Linked DNA regions of Xenopus tropicalis. The main gene of each other region encodes a partner of the protein of the gene in region 3 in a complex. Links are inferred from orthologs where the notes say so. Each region holds a gene or a part of one and is shown on either strand. Other genes may lie near its edges. The genes, in order: polr3d, polr3k and crcp.

Region 1 (10,491 bases), on a different chromosome or scaffold from region 3:
TGCGCTATCATCTGCGTCATTTTTCTGCACTAACGTGCACTACGCCGATCTGTGTGCAGCATGAATTTCGCCATGAAAACGAGAAATTCATTTTCAAGCATCGGTCCTTTCTCCACCCGTGAAAAATGTGCAGGCAGAGAAGTAGCCGAGGAACAGCTTCACGTCTAGATTGTAAGCTCTACGGGGCAGGGACCTCCATCCTCTTGTGTCTTTGACTCTTAACTTATTGCAACTGTATCTTGTATTTATTTATTTGTATTTATTGTTATACTGTGTATTTATCTATTATTATCTTAATAACCCCCTGTTTGTATTAATCTATTCTACTGTACAGCGCTGCGTACATAAGAAGTGCTTTATAAATAAACATATACATACATACATACGTGACCAGTGTCGGACTGGCCCACCAGGATACCAGGAAAACTCCCGGTGGGCCCAGGTGTCAGTGGGCCCTCCTGCTCCTGACCATTTGGCCTACTTCATGCTCATTCCCTATTTCTGAATGGGAAGAAACAGGAGAAATAGATGGAAGAATAGATGTTAGCATGTAAATAAAAGAGACTAGGAGAATAAAGAGGTTGGATAAAGAAAAGGAGAAAAAACTTGTGGAAAGCGGCAAAAAAAATATTGCTTGGCAAGGCTACAGTTTATAGCTTTTTTTTCCTATTCAGGTCCTCCCCTATTCCTATACCAGTCTCTCATTCAAACCACTCCCTGGTTGCTAAGGTCATTTAGACCCTAGCAACCAGATAGTTGCTGAACAAAAAGTCAAATAACTAACAAACTACAAATAATAAAAAATTAACATCCACTGCAAATTGTCTCAGAACTTTACTCTCATCATGCTAAAAGTTAACTCAAAGATGAACAACCCCTTTAACTGCTGCATGTACTGTGGAAGTGAAAATTTTAGCCATGCTCACTTTGCAGCCACACCCTAAAAAACACTGAATTAATAAAAATATACCCCTATATACGTAGCTGAACAACAAACACACTGTGGCCCCAAAAGCATTTTATGATGGACACAGCGGTTACCTCTCTGGCAGCTAAACTTAAGACCAATTCTCTGTCTCTATGTGCCCAAAGAAGCCTTTCTACCTAGGATTCCTTCATTCCACCTAGCCCTAGTTTAAACAAAAACTTTTTCTTTTTTCACATCATAGTCAGTGGTGCCCTGATATGCTCTGATTAATGAAATACATAGTTTACCAGTAGTAACCTCCATTAATTTTACCCCCCTCTTTTCTTATATTCTTTTTCCTGTGTTCTTATGGAGGCCATGTAGCCCAAAATGTATTATTTGTCTGTAACTCTGGAGCGCCCTCTTCTGTCTTTTGACCTAACAGATGAGGTCTTATGAGGTAAAAATAAAAAATAAATATATAAAAAAATAGCGTGATATTGTTTACAAAAGTGTATGCACCCATCGGGAAGGGCTGCCGCGCCCAGAGAGCGATAACCGCAGGTCACGAATGGGGGAAGTGAAGGAGCAGTAACCCAAGCTATGGAGAGAGACTCTTGATAAGAGCATTTCCCAATTTGTTTGTGAGTGTATTAGTAAAATTGTTTTAATATTAAAGTGATTAAGATTTTGCACATGTAGGGGGAGATTTACTAATCCACGAACGGTCCGAAGGCGTCCGAATGCGTTTTTTCGTAATGATCGGTATTTTTGCGACTTTTTCGTCGCCATCGCGACTTTTTCGTATGTCCTGCGATTTTTCCGTCTCCGCTGCGGTTATTCCGTATATTTTCAGCAACTTTTTAGTCACCGTCGCGAAAAAAATCGGATTGGTTTTTCCGCCGTCTACTATCGCTCAATACGGAAAAATCTCACCGGCGACGCAAAAGTCGCGCAAAATACAATAAAGTGGCGACAAATACGAAAAATTTCGACGCCGATGAAAAAGTCGCAAAATTTTCATTTCCAATACAATTTTTTCCCTTTTGGGATTCGGATTCGTGGATTTGTAAATCTCCCCCCCCGTAGCGTGCATTTGTTAGCATTCCTGAGTAAATATAAGTGGAGAAGGAAAACTGAGAAGTTGCTGGTTTACTATCAAGCTTCCTAACTGGATATCCATTGATCAAAAATGTTTTTTGATAATGTCTGATTTATAAAAGTGAAGGGAGACGGAAAATCTGCAAATTCACAGAAGTGGTCACATTGGGTGCTCATAGACCTCAAGTGGATTTGGGTGTTATAATTTAGCAACATAACTTGGTGTGATAATTACAAAAAAGAGTGGTAGTAAAATATAACGAGCATGTACTTTTGTAAACAATATCAAGCTTTTTTTTTTTCCATTTTCACCTTATGTTAGGTCTAAAGACAGACGAGTTACACACAACTAATATTGGACCTGGGACACAAGGTATTTGGAGTAGGGATCAAATATTTGGATTTTGCACTATTTAAAGGAGACATATTGGATAAATGGGAAAAACCCTAATTTTGTAGGCAATTATGAATAATATTCGGTGCTGGTTTCCCATTGTGTTTAAAATTAATCCTATCTGTAAAAATGGCCCCTTTGTTGGAGCTCCCTATAGATCCTGTCTCTTCTCTGACCAAGTTTGAAATAAAGAGTGGGCGAGTCCTAACGGTCCCTGCCAGAAGCACAGTAGGAGGGGGAGAGCCAATCACAGCCCTGCACTCACACAAGCGCAGACAGGCTTCAGTTCCCTATCAGGTCAGCCTAGCTGCTGATTGGTTCCTATCCTACAGTGCAGTGTACGGAGGGCCGCCGGCTCCCCAGCTCATCCAGAGAATTCAGCCAGCAGGAAGTGGAACAGATGGGCGGGGCTAGTGGGGTTTTGGGGGAATTTCTCAATAAATCAGTCTGAAACACAACTTTTTTAAGCACATTCCTTCTATATCTAGAGGAGTATAATTCACTGGTACATTCATAATTTATATAGGATATGTCTCCTTTAATAATAATAATAATCATATTATTTTTGACCCAAAATGTATGACAGAGTAAACATTTACATAATTCTCCAAAAAAAAAAAACCCCAAACCTGATTCTTTAAAAAAACAAAAAACTTTTTTAGCCAAATTGGGAGAAGAGGCTCTGCTGTGAGCAGATTCTTGGACACTACCATCAATAAGCACCCTAAAACTACAGACTACTCATTATACCCGCAAGATACTTTTATATTAGCCCATATGTTGTCCCTAAATGATGGAAAAGTATCATTCCAGTCTTCATATAAAACTCTGGATCAGAACATAAAATAACTGATTTTGGGTAACTGTGGGTGGCAGTCAGTGTGGGCAAACTCATCTGCCAAACAGGGATCTTTACTGACGCCCTTTGGAACCCTGAAACTTTTAGAAAAAAAAATACAGCTACCCTCAAATTACAAAGTTGCTAAAAAGATCCTATCATTTTACCCACCCATGTTTTGCACACAAATTTTTTTCCTATTTAGTTCGAGCAGACTCAGCAGCACTCTCCAACAACTTGAGGGCTCCGCTCAGTCCGCTCGCCACTCCCACAAGGCGGCTACGTCCCGTGTCCCTGCACTTATATGTAGGCGTGACGTCACACTCTCGCGTGATGAGACTTGCGGCGTCGGGATTTCGTGTGAGACATGTGGAAAGGCGGAAGCAAGTAACAGCTCTGGGAGGTGTAAGTAAGGTAAAGCAATGGTGTTGAGAACTATGCACTTTCTTGGATCAGCCGGGCCCTCTGCTGTCAGTGAGCTGCAGTTTTGGGAGAGGAGCATTGGAGCTACGGTATTTGCAGCGGGGAAAGAACAAGCAGACTCCCCAGCTCCCTTCTGAAGTCTACAGCTCACTGACAGCAGGGGACCTGACTAATCCAGGTAAGCACAGCGGGCCCTTTTAAGGCTGAAGACACACAGAGCTACTAGTAACAGCTACTTGTTGTGGCTACAGAAACAGACAATGCTGATCATTTACTGATAATTGTCTCTTGGTGTGTTTTGGCAGAGGCAATTCTCAGTATTGTCTATGGCGGGGATTTTCTGGTATTTAGTAGCCGTGAAAAAGTAGCTGCTACTAGTAGCTCCGTGTGTCTTCACCCTAAGGGCAGTGACACACGGGGAGATTAGTCTCCACGCAACCAATCTTCGTTGTTGTGGGCGACTAATCCCGTCCGACCATCCCGCTAGAATGTAAATCAGCGGTGGGATGGCATATGCAGCCCCGCGATTTGCCAAAGTCGCCCGAAGTTTCCTCTCAAGGCAACTTCGGCAAATAGCGGTGCTGCGTATGCACACAGGGAGATTAGTCGCCTCAAGACCATTCTTTCTCCCCGCAATCCCATCCCACCAGCTAGAATGTAAATCGGCGGTGGGATGGCATATGCGCCACCGCGATTTGCCGAAGTAGCGCGAAGTTTCCTTGCAAGGGAACTTTGGCAAATCGCGGTGCTGCGTATGCCATCTCACCGGCGATTTACATTATAGCTGGTGGGATGGCATTGCAGGGAGTTTAGTCGCCCGCGACGACGAAGATTTGTCACACTGTGACTAATCTCCCTGTGTGTCACTGCCCTAAAATCCCTCATGGTGGCCCTGGGGCTTAGCCTCCACTACAGGTGGCCAGTTTTGTATATAAATATATAGACAGTGTTTTATAGAAAGCAAGCAGTAACATAAACACCACCACGTAGGTGTAGGAAACGTTCCTATCCCCATTCTCATGTATTAATTCTCCCCAACAGAATGTCTGACGGTAATCCAAGCAACGATGGTGGGGGGCCGCGTACTCCAATGGGCAGGGGGCTTGTGGGACGCAGATCTTCTACTCCTCTTACCCCAGGTCGCCTTCCTTCCATCCGCTCCCGAGATCTTACGCTTGGCGGAGTCAGAAAGGTGGGTTTCCATTGGCTGTTCTTACAGAGAAGTGGCTGGTCAAATGTGACTATCTACTGCCAGTTCTAATATCTGCACATATATGTATGTTGGATATCACATGTATCTCAACCAGGCCGTACTGTCACTAAGGGCGAAGACACACGAATATACTTAGAAGCAGCTACTTTTCATTGCTACTAAACCCCAGAAAATGCCCTGCCATAGACAGTACTGAGAATTGCCTCTGCTAAAACACATGTAGAGACAATTATCAGTCACCAGAGAATGTTTATTTTTAGCAAAAAAAAGCAATAACAAGGAAATGGAAAGACTCAACACCCCCCAAATATTCACATTGGCTCTCTGAAGTCAAACACCTATGTGCAATGGAAAGTCTAATATATAAAACTAGAGGAGCCCCCAAAAAACACGAAAAAATATGGGGAAAATGGCTAGAAAAATCCACTTAAGTGAGCTATGGCGGTATTTTCTCAAAGCATTTTATGATAGTATGTTTGTAACTGTAATATGTGCCAACATCCGAGGGAAACAGTCAGCAATGACAAGGGAAAGGAAAGTGCATACAAAAGATAAGGTTATAATGTAATTTAAAATGCTGTTGCAACTTTTGTTACTGCAAAACATGTCATATACTAAAACTACATTGTGGAACTCTGCCTCATAAATGTGATGTATATATGCTGAAACTGATGTAAAATCTTCTCAATAAACTTGCCTGAATTAAAAAAAAAAAAAAAAAGACAATTATCAGTAAATGATCAGCATTGACTATTTTAGTAGCCATGACAAGTAGCTGCTAGTAGTAGCTTCATGTGTCACCCTAACTTAATACTGCCCTGGTGCGGTTATTAGGGCTGTGACAGACAGGGAGATTAGTCGCTTGGCAAATAATCTCCCTGTCTATCACAGCTCTTAAAGGGCACCCCCCACCAAATAGGGGAAACAATAGCCTTTCTTTTAAAAACTGCCCCTGACAGCGCTGGGAGGGAGCCCCCGTTGTGGCCAGCCATGTTGGAGCCGCAACTTGACAACATAACTCATTATGCGCATGTGTGTAACTTAGGAGGGTGATTTACATCCACCACTCCTACGACACGTGCATAGTAAGTAAGCGGGGATATCCGCGCATGTGCGCCGACCAACATAGCCGATCGTACTGGGAGCTCTCTCCCAGTGAGGGTAGCCCGGCGCTGGAAGTTTTTTTTTTTTTTTTTTTTTTTTAAACTCTTGTTTCTCTCAACTGGAATGCAGGCTCTATTAGGCCACACCTCTGGTGGAGGAAACAATATTGGTGTGATAGGTGCCCTTTAAGTTTTTTTGGCTGTAGGACTCTCAGTGAAGATTCATTTATATCATAGGTGTTTTACGGGTCATATTCAGTCATGGAGGGGTAAGAGCAATGAGGTGCACAAAAGCACATTTGAGAAGTCTCTTGCGCCCCCCTGCACTCTGTGCCGGATAAAAAAAAATATTTGATGCTGAGTGACAAGCAAAGCCTCAGGATGGGCCCCACTTTGGGCTGAACATCGTGCTGCTACTACCTTGCCAATACCTCAGTATTAAGTACAAGATAGGGGGCGGGAGGAAAGGACGCCTGTGTGCCCCTCCAGCCACCCTTTTTAAACTACACAGTGGGCAAAGTGCAAAAAATGGGCGATTGCAGACCTTTTTTTTTTTGCACACTGCAAGGGGGCTTTGTAAATGAGCCTTTAGTGTTCTTGCCAAACATCTCTATCAGTTCATCTTCAAGAACGGACTCCCTTGTATTGTAGGTCAATACAAATTGCACTGATATTTTGTATAAATCCTACTTCATGTTATTTAATCAGTGTATGGGAAGGCTGTAAGGACATACATTTTATCGTTTTTTTTCTGTATGTCTAATAATATAAGAGTTTTGACATGTCTTAAAGACCTGCACTATCTCTTCTCTTACAGAAAACATTTGCTCCCAACATCATCAGTAGAAAGATAAAAGAAGAGTAAGGAAAATGGCACCTAAAGGGAACTTTCCTGCTTTGTTGTACCCATCTATTTATCTTCTTTTTTTTTTTTTACTGTATCTATTTTTACACCTTTATTTTCTGACTTTCTTGTGATGCTTCACTTATAACAGTTTTACGTTTGCTTTATTCTATATCTATCTGTAGTCTTATCCCCATGCTTCTATTCTGTCCATTCTCTTTCTGGTCTCCCCCACTTTCTTTTCACAATTCCTTGTGTTGTTTCCAGGCCCAAGGAGGAAGTGTCTGTTAAGGTAGAACGTGCAGAGCGTGGAAGGGACCGTCGAGATGGAGCAGGAAGAGGGCGTGGGAAGCCACAAGTCATACAGAGTCACTCCATCTTTGAGCAGGGACCAGCTGAACAGCTCAAGAAGAAAGGTAAAGCATGGGAAGGAACTGGTTTTTACTGGGAGCTCCAGATAATTGGCATAAAGCAGAATGTAACATTTTTGGTACAAAGCTGAACCAGTCACAGTAATTAACAAGACAGTTTGCGACTCAAGTGAGGCAGATTTTTGCCTTATATATGGCAATGTATTTAACACATAGCAGCACATAGTGCAATTTAGAAGACACGGGATACCCTAATGCATTATAGCCAGAGGCATAAATTGTATGCTGCATGATAGGTCCCCTCCCCAGCCACTAGAAACGTTGCCACCTGCTACCGCTTGCCCTGCTGAGGGCAGCATTGCGCTGGGGGGGAGTGGGTTGGAGACTGCCTATGAGTGTGGCGCCACTGAAGATCTCTTACAGGGTGTCCAGCACTGGGTGGCAATGCCACAGATTATAGCTCAGAGGGATGCAAGGGGTAATGGTTACATTTCAATTCTCATTTAAAGCATTAGTGTTTCAGGTCAGATGACTCATACAGGAATGCACCACACCCACAATTTTAAGATTTGGCCAAATACCAAATCCACTACAAGAGATTCCTGAATAAAATGCAAACCCTATTTTATATATTCTAATGGTTAAAATCCTCGCCCCACCCCAAACTTACAGCAGATGTATAATAGTATTGTCCAGTCATATGATATAATGGGCTTGGTTTTGGTTCAGCCATACATGACGGATATTTCAAATTAAAAAAGGCTGTAATTACGTTCAGATTCCAAACCAAATCTGGGGTTCTGTGCATCCCTAGATAAATACACTTAGGAAACAGCAATGTGGAGCATTGAATTTGTCTTTACAATCCTTACAGCTCATTGCTGTGTGTGTATTATTTAAGGCTATGACCTATTACCCTTGGGCTTACCTGTATGTAAGAAACAAGCAAGAATGGCTAAATGGCTGAATATATTTTTTTTGGGGGTGCGTTTGCTTTTTGGTTCATCTTCTTGTTTTAAACTAAAGTGACTTCTTCACATAATTTGCAACTGTGTCAAAAAGTACAATCTACATCTGTTCTGACTGTACCCTCCCTTTAAATTATAGTTGGATGGGATGGACCTTCAGAATCTGCTGACTTTGGCCCATCACACATCATTAACATAAAACGAGAGAAGCGAGAAACTGAAGAGGAGACGAAGGAGATCCTCCGCATGCTGGAAAATGACAAGGTAAATGGTTTACTCTGGAGAATTTAAATGAAAGACAAAGTACAGTACTTTTTTAAATAGTAGTTAAATGTGTTGTACATAGAAGTTAGTGAGAATAAGAATTTTTGTCTTTTTTTCCCTCTTAGTTTCTTGATGACCCTGGCCTCAGGAATGATTCTCAGAACCATCCAGTGCAGATCCCACTTGCCCATTCTGGCTGGCTCTTTAGGCAAGTGGATGAAGAGGAGGATATAAAGCCCATTCAAGGACAACTTAAAGAGGAAAAGATGGAAGTAGATGATACTTCTCAGGTTAAAGGTAATGTCCTTTGTAGACACAACTGTCTTTGCACTTTTCCTTTACAAAGAGCTCTCCAGATACCATGGCAGAAGTTCTCAATGTAGAGCAAAAAACCTAGCATCCGTAATGGAACTGGACTACATTTACTGAGAAAATTAAACTTTCATTAAACCTTAAAATTAATTCATGACAAATTGAAGATCATACTGGTTCTAGCACTACTTTTTCTCTGAGCACTTTTGCAATTTATAGTTATTTTTTATCTTAGCAGTTTCTTAGATGTTTGCATTTTCCAACTACTTATACCAGGCTTTTGGCTTAACTGAGAGTCTGCAACCCTAGGCTTATGTATGTATAGGAAGTGCACAGACAGGAGTGCTGACACTCTGACCTTCAAAGATAGTTGCTAAATTTAAAGCCTGGTATTAGCAGTCTAAAAAACCATTAAAAACAGAAGTTTAATGTTAATTGTATAGTGCTCAAAGTACCAATCTGAATAAGCTGATATGCCTTTTAAAGGGCCAACATGCACATTACACTACATGCTTTCTCTTCCCCTTGCTAGTAAAGGAAGAACCAATGGAGGATGCTGGTGCATGGAAGCCTGGGGTGCCCTCTGCAAAAGTTCCCATTGTTAAGAAACCCCCTGTAACCAAGGATGTGTCCTTCCCAGAGATGCTGGAATCTTTGAGGGTTTCTGATGAAGAATGTCTCTTTTTTGTGCAACTTCCTGACACTCTGCCTGGACAGCCTCCAAGTTTAGAGACAAGGCCTACAAAGACTGAAGTGCAGAGTGAGGATGGCCATATGTTACTGGTCAAGGACAAAGGACAGGTACATAAAGCTACTGCACAGGTGCAGGGACGAGGTGGCCGACCGGGTTGCCTAGGGCGCCCGGTCGGCTCGGCCCGCCCCTGATCTCGGCTATTATTATGCATTATATAGCACCACGATATTCCACAGCACAGGTACTTTATGTTTAACTTGTAGTGACACACCTCTGCTTCCATCAGTTCAAACACTAAACTTTCAGGTCTGCACTGGGGACTCCAGTTAACAAAACATTCTTTTTTTATGCACTGGTGTTAGCGGGTAGTAGTTCTAAATCTTGCCTCTCAATTACTTGTAGGACTCGAAGGCTGCAGAAGACAGCTGTACCTTGCGGGATGTGTCAGAAGGCCATATTGGGAAGCTATTTGTACGCAAGTCTGGCAAGGTTCAGCTTAAGCTGGGCAAAGTCATGCTGGATGTTACTATGGGCACATCCTGTTCATTCTTGCAGGTGAGTAGACTTTTATAGGGATAGTTTTTCAAAGGATTTGTACAACATGGTACTTGTAAACAGTTGAACCTACTATTTGTGGTTTTCGATTTTGCCTTTTGTTCACCAGCTTGCCAAACTGATAACCGCATAAATTGTAGCAGTAATAAGGTAGACACACAGTCAATCTGATCCTCTTTCTAGCTGCTAGATAGAAGGGAGGCACAGTACAGAGCCATAATTTGCAGAAAACCACAGCAAACTGGACACACTTCAACATAGTAATTTAAAGGAATACTGTATTTGGAAAACATGTTTTTTCAAAATGCACCAGTTTAATAGAACTTTTTCCTGCAGAATCCTGCATTAAATCCATTTTGTAAAAACGCAAACAGATTTTTTTTTTATATTTAATTTCATATGGCGCTACCCATATTCTACATTTCCCAGGGTGCTACAGCCATGTGACTTGTTCTCTGATAAACTTCAGTCACACTTTACTGTTGCTCTGCAAGTTGGAGTTAT
Region 2 (10,491 bases), on a different chromosome or scaffold from region 3:
CATTATAAAAGAACCAGAAACTCCAACAAAGAAAGTGGTTTAAAATCATTAAAATATAAAGAATTATGACAACGTTGCTATTACCCAGATATGTATGTGTAACCCAGATATATGACATCCTATGAAACTGGTTTTGTAAACTAACAACACACTACATTTGTATACTTTATGTTCATCTACTTTATTTTGTTTTTTATTTGTCTCAAATTGAAAATCTAAATAAAAACATACTGAAAAAACATACTACTGCCACTGGTAAGTTGTGTGTTTGCTTCAGAAAGACTACTATAGTTCATGCATGCACCTATCACAACTGGACTACTGCAACCTGCTACTACCTGGGCTCTCTCCCCCCTACAGTCTGTATTAGATACTGCTGCCAGAATTCTCCTCCTCTCATCCAAAATGGTATAGCTCCCCCCCCTGAAATCCTTATCATGGCTTGCCATAAAACAAAGAATAACTCCTTCTTAAAACCTTCAAAGCCCTTCTTTCCTCATTTCCCACCTTAAACCTTCCTTCTTTTCTGGAATTCCTTAAAGGAACAGTAACACCAAAAAATGAAAGTGTATAAATATAATTACTATATTATGTACTGTTGCCCTGTGCTGGTACACCTGGTGTGTTTGCCTCAGAAAGACTACTATAGTTTATATAAACAAAGCAGATAGCAGATAAAGCCCCATTATATTCTACAGAGCTTATCTGTTATCTGCAGTAGGTTAATGATCAAATTGAGGAATATTGGCCTAGAACATAATATTTGTAATTGGATAGAGAACTGGCTGAAGGATAGATTACAAAGAGTGGTGGTAAATGGAACATTTTCTAATTGGACCAGTGTGGTTAGTGGAGTACCGCAGGGGTCAGTCCTTGGTCCTTTGCTTTTTAACTTGTTTATTAATGACCTGGAGGTGGGCATAGACAATACTGTTTCTATTTTTGCTGATGACACAAAATTATGCAAAAAGTTCCATGCAGGATGTTGCCGCTTTGCAGAGCGATTTGACAGAATTGGAAAACTGGGCAGCAAACTGGAAGGTGAGGTTCAATGTTGATAAGTGCAGAGTTATGCATTTTGGTAGAAATAATATAAACGCAAACTATCTACTGAATGGTAGTGTGTTGGGGGTTTCCTTAATGGAGAAGGATCTAGGGGTTTTTGTTGATAACAAGTTGTCTAATTCCAGGCAGTGTCATTCTGTTTGCAGTGAGGTAAAAAAACAATACCAAAAGTCCTCAGCGCTCAGATGTGATGAAGTATCCAATCTTACGTGAACCAAATGTTTGTGTAAATAGACTCGGCACCATCATGACACTATACACATCCCGAGTCTATTATCCAGCCCTCAATACCCTGATGTGGCCCGGAGCCCGGCACTCTAGGATTACCCTTGTTTTGCTGATCGCTACACATATCTATGAGCTTACTAATACCAATGATCAGTAGATAGTTTAGATGATACCGAAAGGGTTACACCTGATGACATCATTAACGTCAGACAGGAGCTTTACACGAGGCATAGATACTTTGTATCAGAGCTATATAAGGCTGGGTACTAGTGATTTGGGACCATTTGATCTTTGCTCCTGAGGAAGTGTACCGACAAGTACACGAAACGCGTTGGGCTTTTGTGGACATTGAGCTCCTGTATCACACTACTTTTGTAAGTTTTATTCTTTATGCAGTTGTTTTTTAATAAATAATATTGCACCAGTGGCGGTTCTTCTCTTTGTGTGCCTCATTGAGGTTACAGCCACAGCCTGCAAGAGGATAACCATCCTTGGTCTGCACGTTGATACAGTTGCGTTCCACTTCAAGGATACAATATCCGTTCATTTGGCTACATTCTGCAAATGAATACATCATGTTTGTTTTGCTTCAACAACACTGCCATCTGGTAAGCAGTTAGTGGTACTGCACCCTGGTGTGAATGTTAATCTATTGAGCACAAGCAACACTTTATACGGGGTTAAGGTTTCACCTTATATAAACGTTGCCACACCATTATTTTTCCTTTGTTTTTGTTTTTTTTTTTTCCCTTATTTATGCGCTCCGGATTTCCATATCGTTGAGTAGTGTCATTCTGTGGCTACTAAAGCAAATAAAGTGCTGTCTTGTATAAAAAAGGGCATTGACTCAAGGGATGAAAACATAATTTTGCCTCTTTATAGGTCCCTGGTAAGGCCTCACCTTGAGTATGCAGTGCAGTTTTGGGCTCCAGTCCTTAAGAAGGATATTAATGAGCTGGAGAGAGTGCAGACGTGCAACTAAACTGGTTAAGGGGATGGAAGATTTAAACTATGAGGTTAGACTGTCAAGGTTGGGGTTGTTTTCTCTGGAAAAGAGGTGCTTGCAAGGGGACATGATTACTCTGTACAAGTACATTAGAGGGGATTATAGGCAGATGGGGGATGTTCTTTTTTCCCATAAAAACAATCAACGCACCAGAGGTCACCCCTTTAGATTAAAGGGGACGGAGCTTCCATTTGAAGCAGCGTAGGTGGTTTTTCACGGTGAGGGCAGTGAGGTTGTGGAATGCCCTTCCTAGAGATGTGGTAATGGCAGATTCTGTTAATGCCTTTAAGAGGGGCCTGGATGAGTTCTTGAACAAGCAGAATATCCAAGGCTATTGTGATACTAATATCTACAGTTAGTATTAGTGGTTGTATATATAGTTTATGTATGTGAGTATATAGATTGGTAGGTGTGGGTTGTGTGTGCTGGGTTTACTTGGATGGGTTGAACTTGATGGACTCTGGTCTTTTTTCAACTCTATGTAACTATGTAACCTGTGCCTTTTCTCTTTTTTTCCAGGTAGAATGGCTGCCCCCATGGCTACACAGCAGCTTATTTATATAAGCTATAGTACCATTACTTTAGCAAATACACAACTTGACCTGTGCAGGGTAACAGTACATTATAGTTTAAATACTTTAATACACTTTCATTTTTGGCATTACTGTTCCTTCAAGAGAGAACTAAAGACTACCTCTTGGAGAACCAGAGCCGTCTCTCGCTATATCCCAATAGCACTTGATATTTCCCTAATGCTCACTGTGGATGTTCAGTAAGCATTCTGCAATATCACACATATGGGCCCATTTATGAATGTACAAATTTAGATTGTGTTAAAATACGATTTGCGAAAATTCGTATACTTAACGATAATTTCTGATGTGTGGAAATGTTCAGAATGTGGTATAGATCGTGGTACGATCCAAAAGTTACGAAATTTTCATATCCAAACAATCGTAAATGGCGCGAAAATCTTTGTGTGACTTTGAACCTTCAGTGCATGTTTTTGGAAGCCACCCATAGGAATCAATGGCACTCTGCAGCTCCAACCTGGCCAAAGGAACGTCACGATACCGAAGCTTGAATGAATTACGAAACTTTCGTACAAATTATCACAAAGTACGAACAAGTCACAGAAATAAACGAAAATATCGTAGAAAATACGCAGAGTTCTAAAAGTTTGAAAAAATACCATTTTTTTGTAATCGTAAACCATCGTACATTGATAAATGGGCCCCATATTGTGTGTATTTGCAATGACATCAAATAGCACACGCACAGGTTATTAGCAGTGCACTGCAATAGTTCCCCAGTAGACAATCTCCTGGGGTTGAAAGCTCTGGAGCACATGCATAAACTGGGAACTGGTAGTGAATACAAGGTACAGTTGCTTTTAAGGGCACCTTAACAATATAGGGGTGATAGGTGCCCTTTAAAGCAACTGTACCTTGTATTAATTTCTATTTATTATTATACTTTGTACCAACGGATAAACCATCATATCTAATTTATGATAGCTTTCACCCTGACCACACTAAACACTCCATAATCTACAGCCAGGCTCTACGATATAATCGAATATGTTCTGATGCTACTGAAAGGGACCACCACCTAAGAACACTCATGGCAGATTTCATTAACAGGGGCTACAACCCAAGGATTGTGGATCAATATATCCATACAGCCACCAGGATTCCCAGAAGTCAACTTCTACAATACAAACAAAAAACAGAAATAAATTGAATTCCTCTAGTTGTCACATACGATCCCCAACAAAAGACCCTCAGAAAAATAGCCAAGGATCTACAGTGTACACCTCAAAAGGATGAGAGGCTCCAAAACATATTCCCAGACCCACCACTTCTGGCATTCAGGCAGCCCCCAAACCTAAAACAACTAATAACAAGAAGTGCCTTAATTCAACCCAACAAAAAAGGAACTTATCCCTGTGGCAAAAAAACAATGCAAAACCTGCCCACACATCTGTAATTCAGATTTCAGACACATTAGAGGAATACAACATCCATGGTCAGTACAACTGTTCTTCTTCCAATATGGTGTACTTAATACAGTGCACTAGATACTGAACAGGAGGACTGTATATAGGAGAGACTGGTCAAAGCCTGAGAAAAAGAAATACACACCACCGTTTTACTATAAGAACGCGATTTCTGATGGTGGCCCTGGTTCTATCAATTAGATGCTCTGCTGTACAGTGCTTCGTACATAAGTACTGTAATGCTTATACCATGTGGGGTTGATTCTCAGCACATGAAAAACCACAGGCCAAGAATCAGTTCCTTGGGCATCAGCCTCCTACTTTTCCAGGTCAAACCACTGCGTTGGCCCAGGTGCAAGCATACAATATGAATATCCACTCTAAAATGCTAAATTTACAGTTTCTTTGCTGATATCTGCCATGTGTGCCTGCACCCAGGCCAGCCCAATAGTTTCTGGTGCAGGCAAGGTAGGAGGCTGTCAGCGGAGGGACTGATTATCTGCATGCGGGTTTCCATGCGGCATCAGCCGTATATAAATAAGAATATAAATAGTTTATATAAACAAGCTTCTATGCAGCCATGGAGGAAGCACTTCAAGATAAAAAAAGGAGAAAGGCACAGGATACACAGCAGATACCAGATTAACACGAATATACCACCACTGCATTTTATTACAGAGCATATATGTTATATGATATCCAAACCTGTGCCTTTTCTCCTTTTCAACTTAAATGGCTGCAAGACTTCTAGTTCTGCTTTTGCTTTGCAAAAATTGCTCTTCTCGTGTTATCAGTTTTTGGGAGCTGGACTTAAATGTAGAAATTTAGAATTTCGAGTTAAGTTTTTCAACGCAATTTCCACTACCCACCTTTAGTTCACACCGTTTCATTCAAGTTACAAATGGAACTGTCGCAGATTTCTAGGGCGCCCATTAAAGACGTCATCACCGGGCGGAAACGTGCGCAATAAGATGTAATGTAGGTGAATGCGAGGCTAGGGCAAACGCGTGGTGATCATTCTGCTTAGGCAGCGGTACTGGCGTCTGGAGGATGAAGTGGTTGATGCGAAGTTTGAGCTAATCTGTTAGCAGCAATGTTGCTATTTTGCCCGACGTGTGGGAATGTGCTGATCGTGGAGGAGGGACAGAAGTGCTACAGGTTTGCCTGTAATACCTGCCCTTATGTGCACAACGTTAATCGCAAGGTATAATGAGGTCTTCTGAAGTGATAGAAATATGGTTTTAAGCGGCGTAAGTGTAGTCCTGGTGGCTACGAAGCCTTTTTATGCCTTGTGTATGCCAAGCATTGCTAATTGGCAGATAACATTACATTAGCAACAGTACAATGCGCTGATTTTTAAGTGCGGGATGAATCTGTATAAATTGCTAACAACATATTCTGGTAATGGCTGGGGCTTTTAGCTCTAAATTGTGTAAGTTTAATAGACTTACAAAGTTAAAAAGGTGATCTTATCATTTATGTTTTATGATAAATACTAAATAAAATGCATAGTAAATAGATACACCTGCTACCCCCACCCCCCAAAATGAACATTTGAATATACGCATATGACCTGTGATTTTTTTTTTTGTCTGATTTTTGCTAGTTTGTGGCCAAGGTCTTGCTTTTCTTCCTTTTTGGCTATTACCCTTCTGGGAACAAATCATCATAGAAGGGCACACTTTTAACCCTAAATTCACAATACCCAGAACACCACAGCACAATCACTTCCCCTGTGGAAGTGCATTACCTTGCTAAAGCACACTAATATCATAAATATATATTATAAAATGTGTCCTAACACTTTCATAAATAATATCTAAATAAATACATTTGAATATATATTAATACATAGGGAGTTCTGACCGCTAGATACTTATTTGACAAACTTTAAGGGGAAATACTGTAACCCTATCTTCACCACTTCTGGCACCTTTGACAGTGTTACACTCCACGAGTGGCGCTTACCTGATGGCACGGGACAAACCTGAATCACTCCGCAGTGGTATTGGGAGAGACTGGGTACCTGGTACTTATTAGCGCAGTGCCTCCACCTAGTGGGATCCTGGAGTGCACCTACGGGTGGCCCCACTAGGAACAATAATAATGCACACACAGTACTTGATAAACGAAATAACTTTTATCTGAAATAAAGGGGAAACTAATACAGATAACACTCCTATCCAAGTGGCAATAAGGGCCTTACTAACTAGCTTTGCCAGCGCAAGCTGTCTCACTAACTATGTACAGTCCTTTAGCTCAGTCCCAAAAGAAACAGTTTATATAGTTTAAATCTTCAAGCGCTCCTTTATTACTTTCACTTTAATGATACTCACTCCAGGAATCTCTTTGGGTGATTCACACAGAATCTTCAGGCGAGTCCAGCACTCACAGCCATGCAGTGCGACTACTAGCCCCTTTAGCTACTCAGATGGGATTCCCCTGCAGGTGTTTGTTCCTCCAGTCAGGACTCCTCACAGGATCTCTGTCTCTCCAGGTACAGGGTCTGCCTTCCCTGTACCAGCCTGTTCCAAAGGCCAGCTTCTTCTTGTGCTGCTCCTCTCTCTGAGCCCACGTGCAGCTTCTGGAGTTCTGGGGCTTTTTCTCTCCTCCCACTGACTTCCTCTCCCAGGCTGCTTTGCAACTTCCGGCAGCCCTGAGCTTGCTGTTCACCTTGTTGCTAGGCAGCAGCTCACAGCACAAAGTCTCAGTGCCAGCTCCCCTACAGGGAACAGCAGCAGGAGGGGGGTAAGTGCAGGGACCCAGCACTACCTCCCTACATTCTCCCCCTGCTTGAATGGGCAACGTCCTCGCTTGCCCTTTCTCACCATTCTTATTCTCCCTAACCTTTGGGGGAGATACACAGGGGAAAGCTTCCTCACTAACTGCCCTGACACTTCCCCTGCCTGAAGGTCTACGCATTCCCAGGCCCAGTCTCTTACTTTTATTGGGGGTGCCAGAGTGCTCAGAGACCATCCTCGTGCCACAGGATTTCTCTTCACAAATATTCACTTCACATGGGAAAGATGTCACATATACATCAGTGAAGTCTTCATTCCGTCCCCAGTCACAGGTGTGGGAAGTATGACCGTACCAACCACAGGTGTAACACCTCACCTGATTACGTCTCTTCCGATACCTCTTTTGGGGTGGCTTCCTCACAGCACAGCCATATGAAATAACTTCTGTAGCTGCAGCATTTTCACGTTGCGTCGGACAGTGTGGGGATATATGGCCCAACCGGCCACAACGGAAGCACTTTGGTGGGTCACCGCGAGCACCACCTGCTTTAGGAAATGAAGAGGGTCTAGACATAGTTGACCCCTCTTCCTTTTCGGACACACGAGCCTTGAGCTGAGCAACCTGTTTTTTTAACTCGGCAATCTCTTCCGCTTTCTGCGAATCACTGGATGTCCTTTCAGAACCACGTCTTTTCTTCTCTCGTCGCAGAACATTAACTTCCTCCTTTCGGATCTCACGGATCAGCTCCTGATAAGTTGGTTCTTTCTTTCCTCTGTAGAAAGATCTCAACATCACAGCTGTGGGGTCCATAGATAAAGCCCCTCTGAATAACTGTTGTAGCCTCATAGAATCAACACGATCTGTAGCAATGATTCTTCGGCAAACAAGTAATTTTAGCATTTGCTGCAGTCGCTTCAAGTACTCAGACAGATTCTCTTTTTCTTTCTGCATGCAAGACTGAAATTTGTACAACATTTCAATTTCATCTTCCACCGGTCCATATGTATCTTCCAGTACGTCTATCAACTTCTCAGGACCATCTTGTGGGCACACCTCTCGTTGGAGCTTAATTAGGTCCAATGCAGGCCCTCGCAAACTCTCCTGGATCTTGCGACATAAAGCAGGGCCAGAGCCAGGCCAATCGGTAATAGCAACCAAAGCAGCATCTCTCCAGGCCTCAAAGGCCTCTTCACCTGGAGGAGTAGGTTCCATACCTGAGAATATTTTTAGTCTCTTATAATTTCCATTGTATGCCAGCTGTCTCCAATTCTCACCGACTTGGGCCAAGACTTCCACCAGCTGAGCTGCCTCAACAACATCACTTAGAGGTCGGCTCCTCCCAGCAGAGTTCAAGCTTTCACATGATGCAGTGTATTTCAACTTTGTCTCAGGTGTCACATCAAACAGTCTTTTAGTCACTGGGCTGTGACCAGCAGCAGGTATCTGTGGGGTGCCACTGCACAGGGGATTTGGGTTCTCCAGATCACCTCCCACTTCATCCTCACTGTCACTAAGTTCCTTCTCCTCAGGGACATCCGGTAAGACAATTTGCCAGTAACCATGGTCTTCCGCCTGCACACCACGTGCACATGTTTCTCTGTTAATCTCACCAGGACTATCCACAAGCACATTTAAGAGGATGCCATCTGGGTCTCGTCGCGAAGCTACCACTCTAGGTCTATAAATAGATCCATCTGCATCTAGGATCTTGTAAATAAATTCCTCTTTTGTTTTTGGTATCATAGGGCCCACTACAGCAGTCTTTTTCGGGTTTAGGCCCAAACTCTTGCACCAGTCCAGAACACTCTGGGGACTCTCAGTAGATGACGCCATCTTGCTTCACTTTCTGTGCAACCAGGTCCCAGCGAATCTCAGCAGTGCCTCCAAAATGTCTATCTTCCCCACTTCTGGCACTTTTGACAGTGTTACACACCACGAGTGGCGCTTACCTGATGGCACGGGACTAACCTGAATCACTCCGCAGTGGTATTGGGAGAGACTGGGTACCTGGTACTTATTAGCGCAGTGCCTCCACCTAGTGGGATACGGGAGTGCACCTACGGGTGGCCCCACTAGGAACAATAATAATGCACACACAGTACTTGATAAACGAAATAACTTTTATCTGAAATAAAGGGGAAACTAATACAGATAACACTCCTATCCAAGTGGCAATAAGGGCCTTACTAACTAGCTTTGCCAGCGCAAGCTGTCTCACTAACTATGTACAGTCCTTTAGCTCAGTCCCAAAAGAAACAGTTTATATAGTTTAAATCTTCAAGCGCTCCTTTATTACTTTCACTTTAATGATACTCACTCCAGGAATCTCTTTGGGTGATTCACACAGAATCTTCAGGCGAGTCCAGCACTCACAGCCATGCAGTGCGACTACTAGCCCCTTTAGCTACTCAGATGGGATTCCCCTGCAGGTGTTTGTTCCTCCAGTCAGGACTCCTCACAGGATCTCTGTCTCTCCAGGTACAGGGTCTGCCTTCCCTGTACCAGCCTGTTCCAAAGGCCAGCTTCTTGTGCTGCTCCTCTCTCTGAGCCCACGTGCAGCTTCTGGAGTTCTGGGGCTTTTTCTCTCCTCCCACTGACTTCCTCTCCCAGGCTGCTTTGCAACTTCCGGCAGCCCTGAGCTTGCTGTTCACCTTGTTGCTAGGCAGCAGCTCACAGCACAAAGTCTCAGTGCCAGCTCCCCTACAGGGAACAGCAGCAGGAGGGGGGTAAGTGCAGGGACCCAGCACTACCTCCCTACAATACCTTAAAGAATAAGCCTTTTTTTTTTTTCTATCAGTAAAATTACTCTAAACAACCTCCAGAATTACCTACTTACCTACCTTTGTCCCAGCATTTTGTCCCAGCATTAGTGAAGCCCCGCCCCCCACTTCTTGTTCAGTTTTCTCTTCAGTTCCACTACTCTAGTGGACCTGGAGAGCCTTCTGGGCATGCCTGGAGGCAGCAGGAGCCAGTCTGTGCATTAGCAGCGTTTTTTTTTTTTTCTTGATGAGAGACCAAAACAGGAAGTGGGGTCGGGGCTTCACTCTGCACAAAGAAGCAAAGGAAAGCATTAACTTCTAACTGAGGAACCAGGTCAGACAGGATGCTGGAGTCAGTTTTAGAGTAATTTTACTGCATAAACTGCCCTGGCTGACATATACTATGTAGACAGCAGTGGCACCACCAGGGTCATAAAAATGCAAAATACTAATAACAGTTTGTAAACATCACAATGGGTATTTATCCATCCAGATAGCCATGTTTGTGCAACGTTTCGGGAAAGTCACATCCCCTTTCTCAAGCACATTATTATGGCCATCCCATATTGTAGAAGCACATTTGTTTGTAAGACCATGGGGCTGATTTACTAACCCACGAATCCGAATTGGAAAAATTCCGATTGGAAAACGAACATTTTGCGACTTTTTCGTATTTTTTTCGATTTTTTCGT
Region 3 (10,491 bases):
AAATTAAAGCAGATTATAATTACAGTTAACTTACAAAATACAATGTTTTGGTGTGTTTGCTAATAAGGTCACTGAGATAAAGTGATAAAAGGCGTACATGTAGCATAAATAAACATGTTTGTAGCAGCTAGCACTCCCATATCAGAAACCTAATTTACAAATTTTGTTGCCTATCTACACCGCTAGAGGGCATGTAGAGTGGGACTGAGAGCCTTCTACATTCTCCACACATGCAATTACCTTCACTAATTCATTTTTTGGTGTGTGTCTAGGTTTGTGGATGAAAATGAAGATAACACTAACTGTGCCCTGAAGGGCAGCTGATTTGTAGTACAGCTGTGCTTCTGAATCCCAGTCATATATTCTGAGAAGACATCACCAGAACACTATACAGGACCTATTCATAAATATATATAAGAATGTGGTGTAAGAATACACCACACATGACCATTTTAACACAATACCATATAAAATCATGAGTACAGGGCACAAGCGATCCCTAACATCACATGCCTTGAGATAGTGTCAACTTCTTATCATTCTTTATTTATAGATTAGGTTAATGAATTGGCTTGTACCTAATGAACTGTGTACTATTGCTGATTCTGGCAGCACCTGCTTCAGCACTGAAGTAAACACAGCACCCTATTTTGGCAGTTTACCAACTTTCTAACAACGGTTGTGGTACACACGATTGGATTGGAAGTGAGTGAGAGTGTGCGTGAGTGAGAGTGTGCGTGAGTGAGAGTGTGCGTGAGTGAGAGTGTGCGTGAGTGAGAGTGTGCGTGCGTGAGAGTGTGCGTGCGTGCGTGAGAGTGTGCGTGCGTGCGTGAGAGTGTGCGTGCGTGCGTGAGAGAGTGCGTGCGTGAGAGAGTGCGTGCGTGAGAGAGTGCGTGCGTGAGAGAGTGCGTGCGTGCGTGAGAGAGTGCGTGCGTGAGAGAGTGCGTGCGTGCGTGAGAGAGTGCGTGCGTGCGTGAGAGAGTGCGTGCGTGCGTGAGAGAGTGCGTGCGTGCGTGAGAGAGTGCGTGCGTGCGTGAGAGAGTGTGCGTGTGCGTGCGTGAGAGTGTGCATGTGCGTGCGTGAGAGAGTGTGCGTGCGTGAGAGAGTGTGCGTGCGTGAGAGAGTGTGCGTGCGTGAGAGAGTGTGGAACGTCAACGTTCCAGAGGTCCAGAGCGACAAATGTAAATAAACTCAACTTACTCACAAGCTCTTAAGTGCCATGTGTGCTTTACACATGAAAGTCACAAATATAAGAAGCTATGCCAATTACCCCTTCCATAGATATTAGATGAAAATCAAAAGTGCACTGAAATAACACTTACTTGGTCAGTTTATGCCCTTTTATTGCAGTTAGAAATTCCCGTACAATTTCAGGGGACTGATAGTGGCATGGACTGCTGGACAAGTATTTCAGTGTCTAGTAAAAGTAAATATATATTTAGTGTGTTTTTTTATACAACATAAAATTCTCATAACACTAAATGTATAAGAATATTTTGCATTTTTTAAATATCTCACAAAGAACTTGCAATTAAATCGATAAAAGCTAATAAAGCTATTTAATGGCAGAAATGTATGTAATTAAGTAAAATATTGTCCAATATTAAAGGGGTACTAAACAGCTGCACTGCACTGCTCAACCAAACTTTACTCAGCTGTTGATAGACTACAAATCCCAGAACACAATTCAACATATATTAAAGGTTGAGGCATGCTGGGAGCTGTAGTCCAGTAGCATCAGGGTAGTATTCTTTGAAAACTTACAAATATTTCAAAAATATTCCCCTAAATCTCCCATGTCCGATTCCGGTGTCATATAATAAAGAAAAAAATGACATAATTATCTCTAAATGTAAGATAACAGCAAGATGTCTGGCATAGTGCTGAGGATCAGCATTCTTACTGGTCAGTTCTTTTGCATTTATAATTACATTTTTTAACAGTAGAATTCTCACTGGTGAATTTTCTTGCATCTATAATTATGTTTTTTGGCAACGTCTATAGCAAAATTAGGGGGCACATTGGAACAGCATACTGGCTAGGTTTACAACCCCTTTAACATCCTCCCCCAAAAGGTTCCCCCACTGTATATTCGTTGTAATAATGAGGAGAGCACCATAAGGCAGAATTACTGCTCTTTAAATTTTATCGTCAACTTTTACAACACAACATGTTTCAGGCCCCTAAGTGCCTAGAGAGCAGCCAAGAAATGTATCAGAACTTACTTCATACATGATGGTATTGAGATTTTGCTGTCCAACACTATTCTTGTTTTTTCGTACTTCTCTCTGCTTAGCTTTTAACTCGGTAAGAAGGTGAAAAACCTTAGTGGTAACAAAAAGACTTTAATTAACAGGATTCTAAATGTGATGACCTAAGCTTCTGCATTCTGCACAGCCACAATCATCTTCTTTCACCAATTACAGTCCAAAGCTGAAAGTGTGCATGTATATGTCAATATAAGAAAGCATGATGGCTCTCTGGTAATTAGTTTAAAGAGCAAAGTAGGAAGTAGGTGCCCATTTCACCCTCACACAATTGCATTTTAAAATCTCCAAGCTACATGGTCAACAGAATTTGTTATCAAACCTTGAAAATAAAACAACCAAAAACACAGATACATATATCTCCATATGGTATGCGCCGTTCTGTTGCTCCTGCCACACTGAACAACAGAGCTGAGCAAACAAGCATCAAGAAACAACTCCTGACACTCTGGTGGACAGCACAGAAAGTGGCAGCTGGTACAAATTTAAAACTGTTAACATGATGAAAAATATGAAAGAAAGACAATTCAAGCAAACTGCAAATGTACTCAAAAGGGCATAATGAGCAATTTTATCTCAAGTTGTTTCGGAGTATACATCCCCATTAACTATTGCGTATGCCTTACACACCTGCATAAGTGCAGCAGACTTATTATCATGTTTCTACATATAACATATCATGGGTAGTACAGCTGTTTGGATCCTTAGGGTGAAGACACATGGAGCTACTTAGTAGCAGCTACTTGTCATGGCTGCAAAATGTTAGAAAATACCCTGCTATAGAGAATACTGAGAATTGCCTCTGCTAAAACACGTAGAGGCAATTATCAGTAAACAATCAGCATTCTTTGGAGCTATGACAAGTAGCTGCTTCTAGTAGCTCCGTGTCTCCACCTTTAAAGCAGACGCAAATTTTTCTGGGCTCAAAGTGAAAAAATGGAATTCTGGAGGCAGCTCTGCCCACAGCCAACATCTTTACTCACTGACTCATACACAGTCCATGGACATCTCAAACTGATCTGTGGGTTACATACAGGTAAAGCAGGCTTTACTGATGTTTCATGACGACACACTTATGAAAGGTATGCTATGTGCATATATTAAGCTCAACAAAGAAGGAATGTAATAAAAATTAACTAAAATAGTATAGGCAATTTACACTATTTTGAAAAGTATTTGGTGACCCATCCAGCAGTGGAAAAACGTGAGCATATTACACATATAACAGTATAACAGTACACAATAGATCACTATATAACTGTCTACTGAATAATTTTACATAGCACATGCAAATGTTTGTTCTTAATTGTGCATTTTAAGCCATTTATAGCTTTTATTACATTTCCCCACAAGCACTGCAATTACAATGTGATAATAATGAATACACATAATCTACCACAAACATGTTTAAATATTCCGTTTTACCAACCTCATAATTGCTCAGGAGCGCTGCATTTGCATCTTTTCTAAAAAAAAAGGGAAGGAAAAGTAATTCACCATAAGGCAAAACAAATAAACAATTCTATATGTCATTTGTTTAATCAATCATTATGGCTGGATCATTTGTACAAGGCCAACAAATGCCTATAAAACTCTTATTTAGCAACAGAAAGGTATTGAGCTTGTTTGTGATTCATAGGTCCATTTTCATTCAACTCTGTGAGCACTGAATTTAACTAACCAATAAATGGACCTCAAGCAAATAATTGCTGAGATCAGAGTTTAACCAGACGATAGCACTAGCCACAGAAAGACCTTTGGGATACAGTTTCCTTAGGTTGGTTGCTGTGAGTTACTAGACCCAAAGTTAACGCTATTACATAGTTACCATAGGTAAGATTTTTTTGGCACATCATTTGTCCTTAATTTTCTAATAAGGCCCTCTTCTATTTACATGCCAGTCTGACTTCCTAACTGCTGCTTGGCTGGTAGGGTTATTGAATTATAGCAACAAAATAGTAGTTAAAATTCCAAATCTGAGACCTGCAGAATAAAAAAGTAAAATAATAAAAAAACATAAAAAGACAAAATGCAAACTGTCTTAGAATACTGCTAACTACATCACACTCGAAGTCAAGTTGAATGCTTAATAAAATGCCCACAAAAGACACTTTGTCAGCTTCTGCTTATTTGATCTACTCTGAAGGTCTCTCAAAATCAGGTGTCTGAAAGTGCATCTATTTAAAGGAGAAGAAAAGGTAAAAACTAAGTAAGCTTTATCAGAAAAGTATGTAAATACGGCCATAAGCACTTACAGAAAAGCTGCACCGAGTCCTCTATCAAAAAAACACATGATTTCTTGTCACCGTTTTTGTAAACATGTTCTTGGGTATCTGACTAACTCTCCTAGTCCTAGAACACTATATTTATTCTGCAGAAAGCTTTACTATACTTGAGTAAAGAGCCCTAGAATCTCCCTGCGATTGTTTAAGATTGCAGCTACCATTTTATCTTGGTCTTCCTAGATTAAGCTACCAGCCTCTAGAACTGCAGCAGGAAACTAGGAAGACCAAGCTAAAATGGTAGCTGCAATCTTAAACAATCGCATGGAGATTTTAGGGCTCTTTACTCAAGTAAATCTTTCTGCAGAATAAATATAGTGTTCTAGGTGGCCCTAATGTGACAAATATATTGGCAGTAAAATGCCAAAATAACTATCCTTCTCCTTTAAATGCTTGCTGAATACATCAGAACACATATGTTATGCATGTAAGTGCATAAAAATGCTGAATGCTGTCTGGAAAAATGCAGTCAAATGTGGCACTACTTAAACGCAGATATGAAGGCTTGTTGTTACAACCAGACAGAATAATGTGGAACCAATTAAGTCACAACCTAGGTACACTCTCTAAGCCAGTGATCCCCAAACAGTGGCTCGGGGGCAACATGTTGCTCACCAACCCCTTGGATGTTGCTCTCAGTGCCCCCAAACCAGGTAGTTATTTTTGAATTCCTGACTTGGGGGCAAGTTTTGATTCAATAAAAACAAGATTTCCTACCAAATAAAGCCCCCTGTAAGCTGATAGGGCGCATAGAGGCTGCCAAATAGCCAATCTTCACCCTTATTTGGCACCTCCATGAACTTTTATGGTGCTTGTGTTGCTCTCCAAGTCTTTTTACATTTGACTGTGGCTCACAAGTAAGAAAGGTGGGGGACCCCTGCTCTAAGCTGTGTCTCATACGCACATCAAAAGCATGAATAAAGGGAAGGTTCACCCAATACACAAAAACCCAATTGAATAAAGTATAAGGTCAGCTTTGTCTACTATCTTGCCTTCAACAACATACTGCATGTTATTAATTAGTACTTTTCTTATTGTGTTCTCTTCTCTCAGTTTGGGTGCTCAGAAAGCAAAGGGAGAGGTAGGGCTTCAATTCCCCAGAGAAAAAGAATCACATGACTGCACACTTCCATGAAAACAACAATAATCTGACATTGCACAAACCTGGCACTGCCCCCATAAGATTATGTAGGCGGCATCAGCCAGAAGCATGCAGGGGTCGGCAACCCTCTCTGCATGCAGGGGTTAGCTTGCATTTTTGTTAATATTGGAGGTTATGTTAGAGATATGTTTAGAAATGTGCAATCTTTACATAGACGGTAGTTTGTGCAAAGGTAAGCGTTTCTTTAAAAGAAAATGCTTATAAGCCCCCTGTAAATATCACCTGATATAAACCTTTACTCTGTTCCACTATATATGTAATTGTAAAGTACTTACTGTCAATCAGCAAAACACATAAAAACACACATCGAAACCACATACAGCTAAGCACGTATACAATCCGGAAGTTTTGGAATGATTTCTCAGGTAACACCATGCTGCTGCCTACCCAGCTTTCACTCGCACACGTTCATTAGCAGCTCGAAAGCAAATGGCAGAAAACTCTTAAATATTTCGAAGCGTTTTAAAACAGACACATTTATAAATAACATTTCTTACACTTCCATGCTGTTTTTCACGTTGGTCAATTAAAAGCCGAGCGAAAAGTCGAGCAGCTGATGATGTCACGCCACGTGACCCTTTCAGGAACCAAACGGAGGCTGCGGAACCGCTGAAACAGGAAGTGGAAGAGTTCACCCTCCTGAAACACGTGTAGGATTCAACTTCGTTTTTGCAAGCGTTATTTGTATTCAAGTGTATGATGCGTCCCTGAGTGCTTTGAACGTCCCAAACTAAGGCAGTCTCCCAGTAGAATGAAACCTCACCAGGCTGAATATAGATAGTAATGGTGTAGTTCTTCAACCACTTTTCCTACTTCTTTTTGTACCCAGTGTGATTTCTGAAAGAACAATAACATTTTTTTTCCAAACCAATTAATAATAACAATAGTTTCTCTAACAGAATCCTGCATTAAAATCCATTTTTCAAAAACACATTTATTTTTTTAATTTCATACAGGGCTAGGAATATTCTTAATTTCCCAGGGTGCCACAGCCATGTAACGTGCACTCTGGTAAACTTCATCCACATTTTACTGCTAAGCTACAAGCTTTGGTGATTTCAACCCCCTCAGCCGCACCTCACATTATTGCTAATTGAAAACTTTTCCCAATACCCCGCCGTGATGACTTGAAATATAGTCAGCACTGGCAATTTCTGACAGTCTCTCAGGAGACTGATGTGCTTGGTTAAAAGGCAGATGTTGGCTCGCTTGCCTGGTGTTGCGCTGGAGAAGGGTGCTTTGGTTACGGCGCGACGGGAAGGCGGCCCTTTGAAAGGGCTTCGTTAGCATATGGATTCCCACAATCCATTGCATCGGCTGGGCAGCCGTAGCCACACTTGAAAGAAGCCCGTCCCACAAGGGGCCCCTTAACTTAGGCAGGGGCCCAATCAGCTTTGCGCAGTGGCAGTATTATAGCCAATGAGGTCAAACCGAGGCGTGATTATTGCTAATTGAAAACTTTTCCCAATACCCCGCCGTGATGACTTGAAATATAGTCAGCACTGGCAATTTTTGACAGTCTCTCAGGAGACTGATGTGCTTGGTTAAAAGGCAGATGTTGGCTCGCTTGCCTGGTGTTGCGCTGGAGAAGGGTGCTTTGGTTACGGCGCGACGGGAAGGCGGCCCTTGGAAAGGGCTTTGTTAGCATATGGATTCCCACAATCCATTGCATCGGCTGGGCAGCCGTAGCCACACTTGAAAGAAGCCCGTCCCACAAGGGGCCCCTTAACTTAGGCAGGGGCCCAATCAGCTTTGCGCAGTGGCAGTATCATAGCCAATGAGGTCAAACTGAGGCGTGATTATTGCTAATTGAAAACTTTTCCCAATACCCCGCCGTGATGACTTGAAATATAGTCAGCACTGGCAATTTTTGACAGTCTCTCAGGAGACTGATGTGCTTGGTTAAAAGGCAGATGTTGGCTCGCTTGCCTGGTGTTGCGCTGGAGAAGGGTGCTTTGGTTACGGCGCGACGGGAAGGCGGCCCTTTGAAAGGGCTTCGTTAGCATATGGATTCCCACAATCCATTGCATCGGCTGGGCAGCCGTAGCCACACTTGAAAGAAGCCCGTCCCACAAGGGGCCCCTTAACTTAGGCAGGGGCCCAATCAGCTTTGCGCAGTGGCAGTATCATAGCCAATGAGGTCAAACCGAGGCGTGATTATTGCTAATTGAAAACTTTTCCCAATACCCCGCCGTGATGACTTGAAATATAGTCAGCACTGGCAATTTTTGACAGTCTCTCAGGAGACTGATGTGCTTGGTTAAAAGGCAGATGTTGGCTCGCTTGCCTGGTGTTGCGCTGGTGAAGGGTGCTTCTGTTACGGCGCGGCGGGAAGGCGGCCCTTTGAAAGGGCTTCGTTAGCATATGGATTCCCACAATCCATTGCATCGGCTGGGCAGCCGTAGCCACACTTGAAAGAAGCCCGTCCCACAAGGGGCCCCTTAACTTAGGCAGGGGCCCAATCAGCTTTGCGCAGTGGCAGTATCATAGCCAATGAGGTCAAACCGAGGCGTGATTATTGCTAATTGAAAACTTTTCCCAATACCCCGCCGTGATGACTTGAAATATAGTCAGCACTGGCAATTTTTGACAGTCTCTCAGGAGACTGATGTGCTTGGTTAAAAGGCAGATGTTGGCTCGCTTGCCTGGTGTTGCGCTGGAGAAGGGTGCTTTGGTTACGGCGCGACGGGAAGGCGGCCCTTGGAAAGGGCTTCGTTAGCATATGGATTCCCACAATCCATTGCATCGGCTGGGCAGCCGTAGCCACACTTGAAAGAAGCCCGTCCCACAAGGGGCCCCTTAACTTAGGCAGGGGCCCAATCAGCTTTGCGCAGTGGCAGTATCATAGCCAATGAGGTCAAACCGAGGCGTGATTATTGCTAATTGAAAACTTTTCCCAATACCCCGCCGTGATGACTTGAAATATAGTCAGCACTGGCAATTTTTGACAGTCTCTCAGGAGACTGATGTGCTTGGTTAAAAGGCAGATGTTGGCTCGCTTGCCTGGTGTTGCGCTGGAGAAGGGTGCTTTGGTTACGGCGCGACGGGAAGGCGGCCCTTTGAAAGGGCTTCGTTAGCATATGGATTCCCACAATCCATTGCATCGGCTGGGCAGCCGTAGCCACACTTGAAAGAAGCCCGTCCCACAAGGGGCCCCTTAACTTAGGCAGGGGCCCAATCAGCTTTGCGCAGTGGCAGTATCATAGCCAATGAGGTCAAACCGAAGCGTGATTATTGCTAATTGAAAACTTTTCCCAATACCCCGCCGTGATGACTTGAAATATAGTCAGCACTGGCAATTTTTGACAGTCTCTCAGGAGACTGATGTGCTTGGTTAAAAGGCAGATGTTGGCTCGCTTGCCTGGTGTTGCGCTGGAGAAGGGTGCTTTGGTTACGGCGCGACGGGAAGGCGGCCCTTGGAAAGGGCTTCGTTAGCATATGGATTCCCACAATCCATTGCATCGGCTGGGCAGCCGTAGCCACACTTGAAAGAAGCCCGTCCCACAAGGGGCCCCTTAACTTAGGCAGGCGCCCAATCAGCTTTGCGCAGTGGCAGTATCATAGCCAATGAGGTCAAACCGAGGCGTGATTATTGCTAATTGAAAACTTTTCCCAATACCCCGCCGTGATGACTTGAAATATAGTCAGCACTGGCAATTTTTGACAGTCTCTCAGGAGACTGATGTGCTTGGTTAAAAGGCAGATGTTGGCTCGCTTGCCTGGTGTTGCGCTGGAGAAGGGTGCTTTGGTTACGGCGCGACGGGAAGGCGGCCCTTTGAAAGGGCTTCGTTAGCATATGGATTCCCACAATCCATTGCATCGGCTGGGCAGCCGTAGCCACACTTGAAAGAAGCCCGTCCCACAAGGGGCCCCTTAACTTAGGCAGGGGCCCAATCAGCTTTGCGCAGTGGCAGTATCATAGCCAATGAGGTCAAACCGAGGCGTGATTATTGCTAATTGAAAACTTTTCCCAATACCCCGCCGTGATGACTTGAAATATAGTCAGCACTGGCAATTTTTGACAGTCTCTCAGGAGACTGATGTGCTTGGTTAAAAGGCAGATGTTGGCTCGCTTGCCTGGTGTTGCGCTGGAGAAGGGTGCTTTGGTTACGGCGCGACGGGAAGGCGGCCCTTGGAAAGGGCTTCGTTAGCATATGGATTCCCACAATCCATTGCATCGGCTGGGCAGCCGTAGCCACACTTGAAAGAAGCCCGTCCCACAAGGGGCCCCTTAACTTAGGCAGGGGCCCAATCAGCTTTGCGCAGTGGCAGTATCATAGCCAATGAGGTCAAACCGAGGCGTGATTATTGCTAATTGAAAACTTTTCCCAATACCCCGCCGTGATGACTTGAAATATAGTCAGCACTGGCAATTTTTGACAGTCTCTCAGGAGACTGATGTGCTTGGTTAAAAGGCAGATGTTGGCTCGCTTGCCTGGTGTTGCGCTGGAGAAGGGTGCTTTGGTTACGGCGCGACGGGAAGGCGGCCCTTTGAAAGGGCTTCGTTAGCATATGGATTCCCACAATCCATTGCATCGGCTGGGCAGCCGTAGCCACACTTGAAAGAAGCCCGTCCCACAAGGGGCCCCTTAACTTAGGCAGGGGCCCAATCAGCTTTGCGCAGTGGCAGTATCATAGCCAATGAGGTCAAACCGAGGCGTGATTATTGCTAATTGTAAACTTTTCCCAATACCCCGCCGTGATGACTTGAAATATAGTCAGCACTGGCAATTTTTGACAGTCTCTCAGGAGACTGATGTGCTTGGTTAAAAGGCAGATG

What was found.
Region 1: crcp (region 3) and polr3d share a complex: the UniProt entries of both Homo sapiens proteins name them as parts of the RNA polymerase III complex. The link is inferred for Xenopus tropicalis from reciprocal best matches to the Homo sapiens genes CRCP and POLR3D.
Region 2: crcp (region 3) and polr3k share a complex: the UniProt entries of both Homo sapiens proteins name them as parts of the RNA polymerase III complex. The link is inferred for Xenopus tropicalis from reciprocal best matches to the Homo sapiens genes CRCP and POLR3K.

What each region holds. Positions count from the first base shown.
Region 1 is NC_030679.2:129,687,613-129,698,103, forward strand, and holds the start of polr3d (DNA-directed RNA polymerase III subunit RPC4), read left to right. Parts: upstream 1-3,593; 5' UTR 3,594-3,654; intron 3,655-4,704; 5' UTR 4,705-4,705; coding exon 4,706-4,855; intron 4,856-6,796; coding exon 6,797-6,840; intron 6,841-7,090; coding exon 7,091-7,239; intron 7,240-8,301; coding exon 8,302-8,426; intron 8,427-8,551; coding exon 8,552-8,723; intron 8,724-9,270; coding exon 9,271-9,539; intron 9,540-9,834; coding exon 9,835-9,987; intron 9,988-10,491. UniProt on the Homo sapiens protein: DNA-dependent RNA polymerase catalyzes the transcription of DNA into RNA using the four ribonucleoside triphosphates as substrates.
Region 2 is NC_030685.2:40,337,043-40,347,533, forward strand, and holds the start of polr3k (DNA-directed RNA polymerase III subunit RPC10), read left to right. Parts: upstream 1-5,357; 5' UTR 5,358-5,391; coding exon 5,392-5,502; intron 5,503-9,357; exon of another isoform or gene 9,358-9,380; intron 9,381-10,491. Other genes in the region: snrnp25 (U11/U12 small nuclear ribonucleoprotein 25 kDa protein), read right to left, coding at 5,168-5,188. UniProt on the Homo sapiens protein: Core component of RNA polymerase III (Pol III) which synthesizes small non-coding RNAs using the four ribonucleoside triphosphates as substrates. Can mediate Pol I proofreading of the nascent RNA transcript.
Region 3 is NC_030678.2:97,813,686-97,824,176, forward strand, and holds the start of crcp (DNA-directed RNA polymerase III subunit RPC9), read right to left. Parts: upstream 6,279-10,491; 5' UTR 6,217-6,278; coding exon 6,209-6,216; intron 6,185-6,208; exon of another isoform or gene 5,987-6,184; intron 3,734-5,986; coding exon 3,697-3,733; intron 2,325-3,696; coding exon 2,226-2,324; intron 1,418-2,225; coding exon 1,323-1,417; intron 1-1,322. UniProt on the Homo sapiens protein: DNA-dependent RNA polymerase catalyzes the transcription of DNA into RNA using the four ribonucleoside triphosphates as substrates.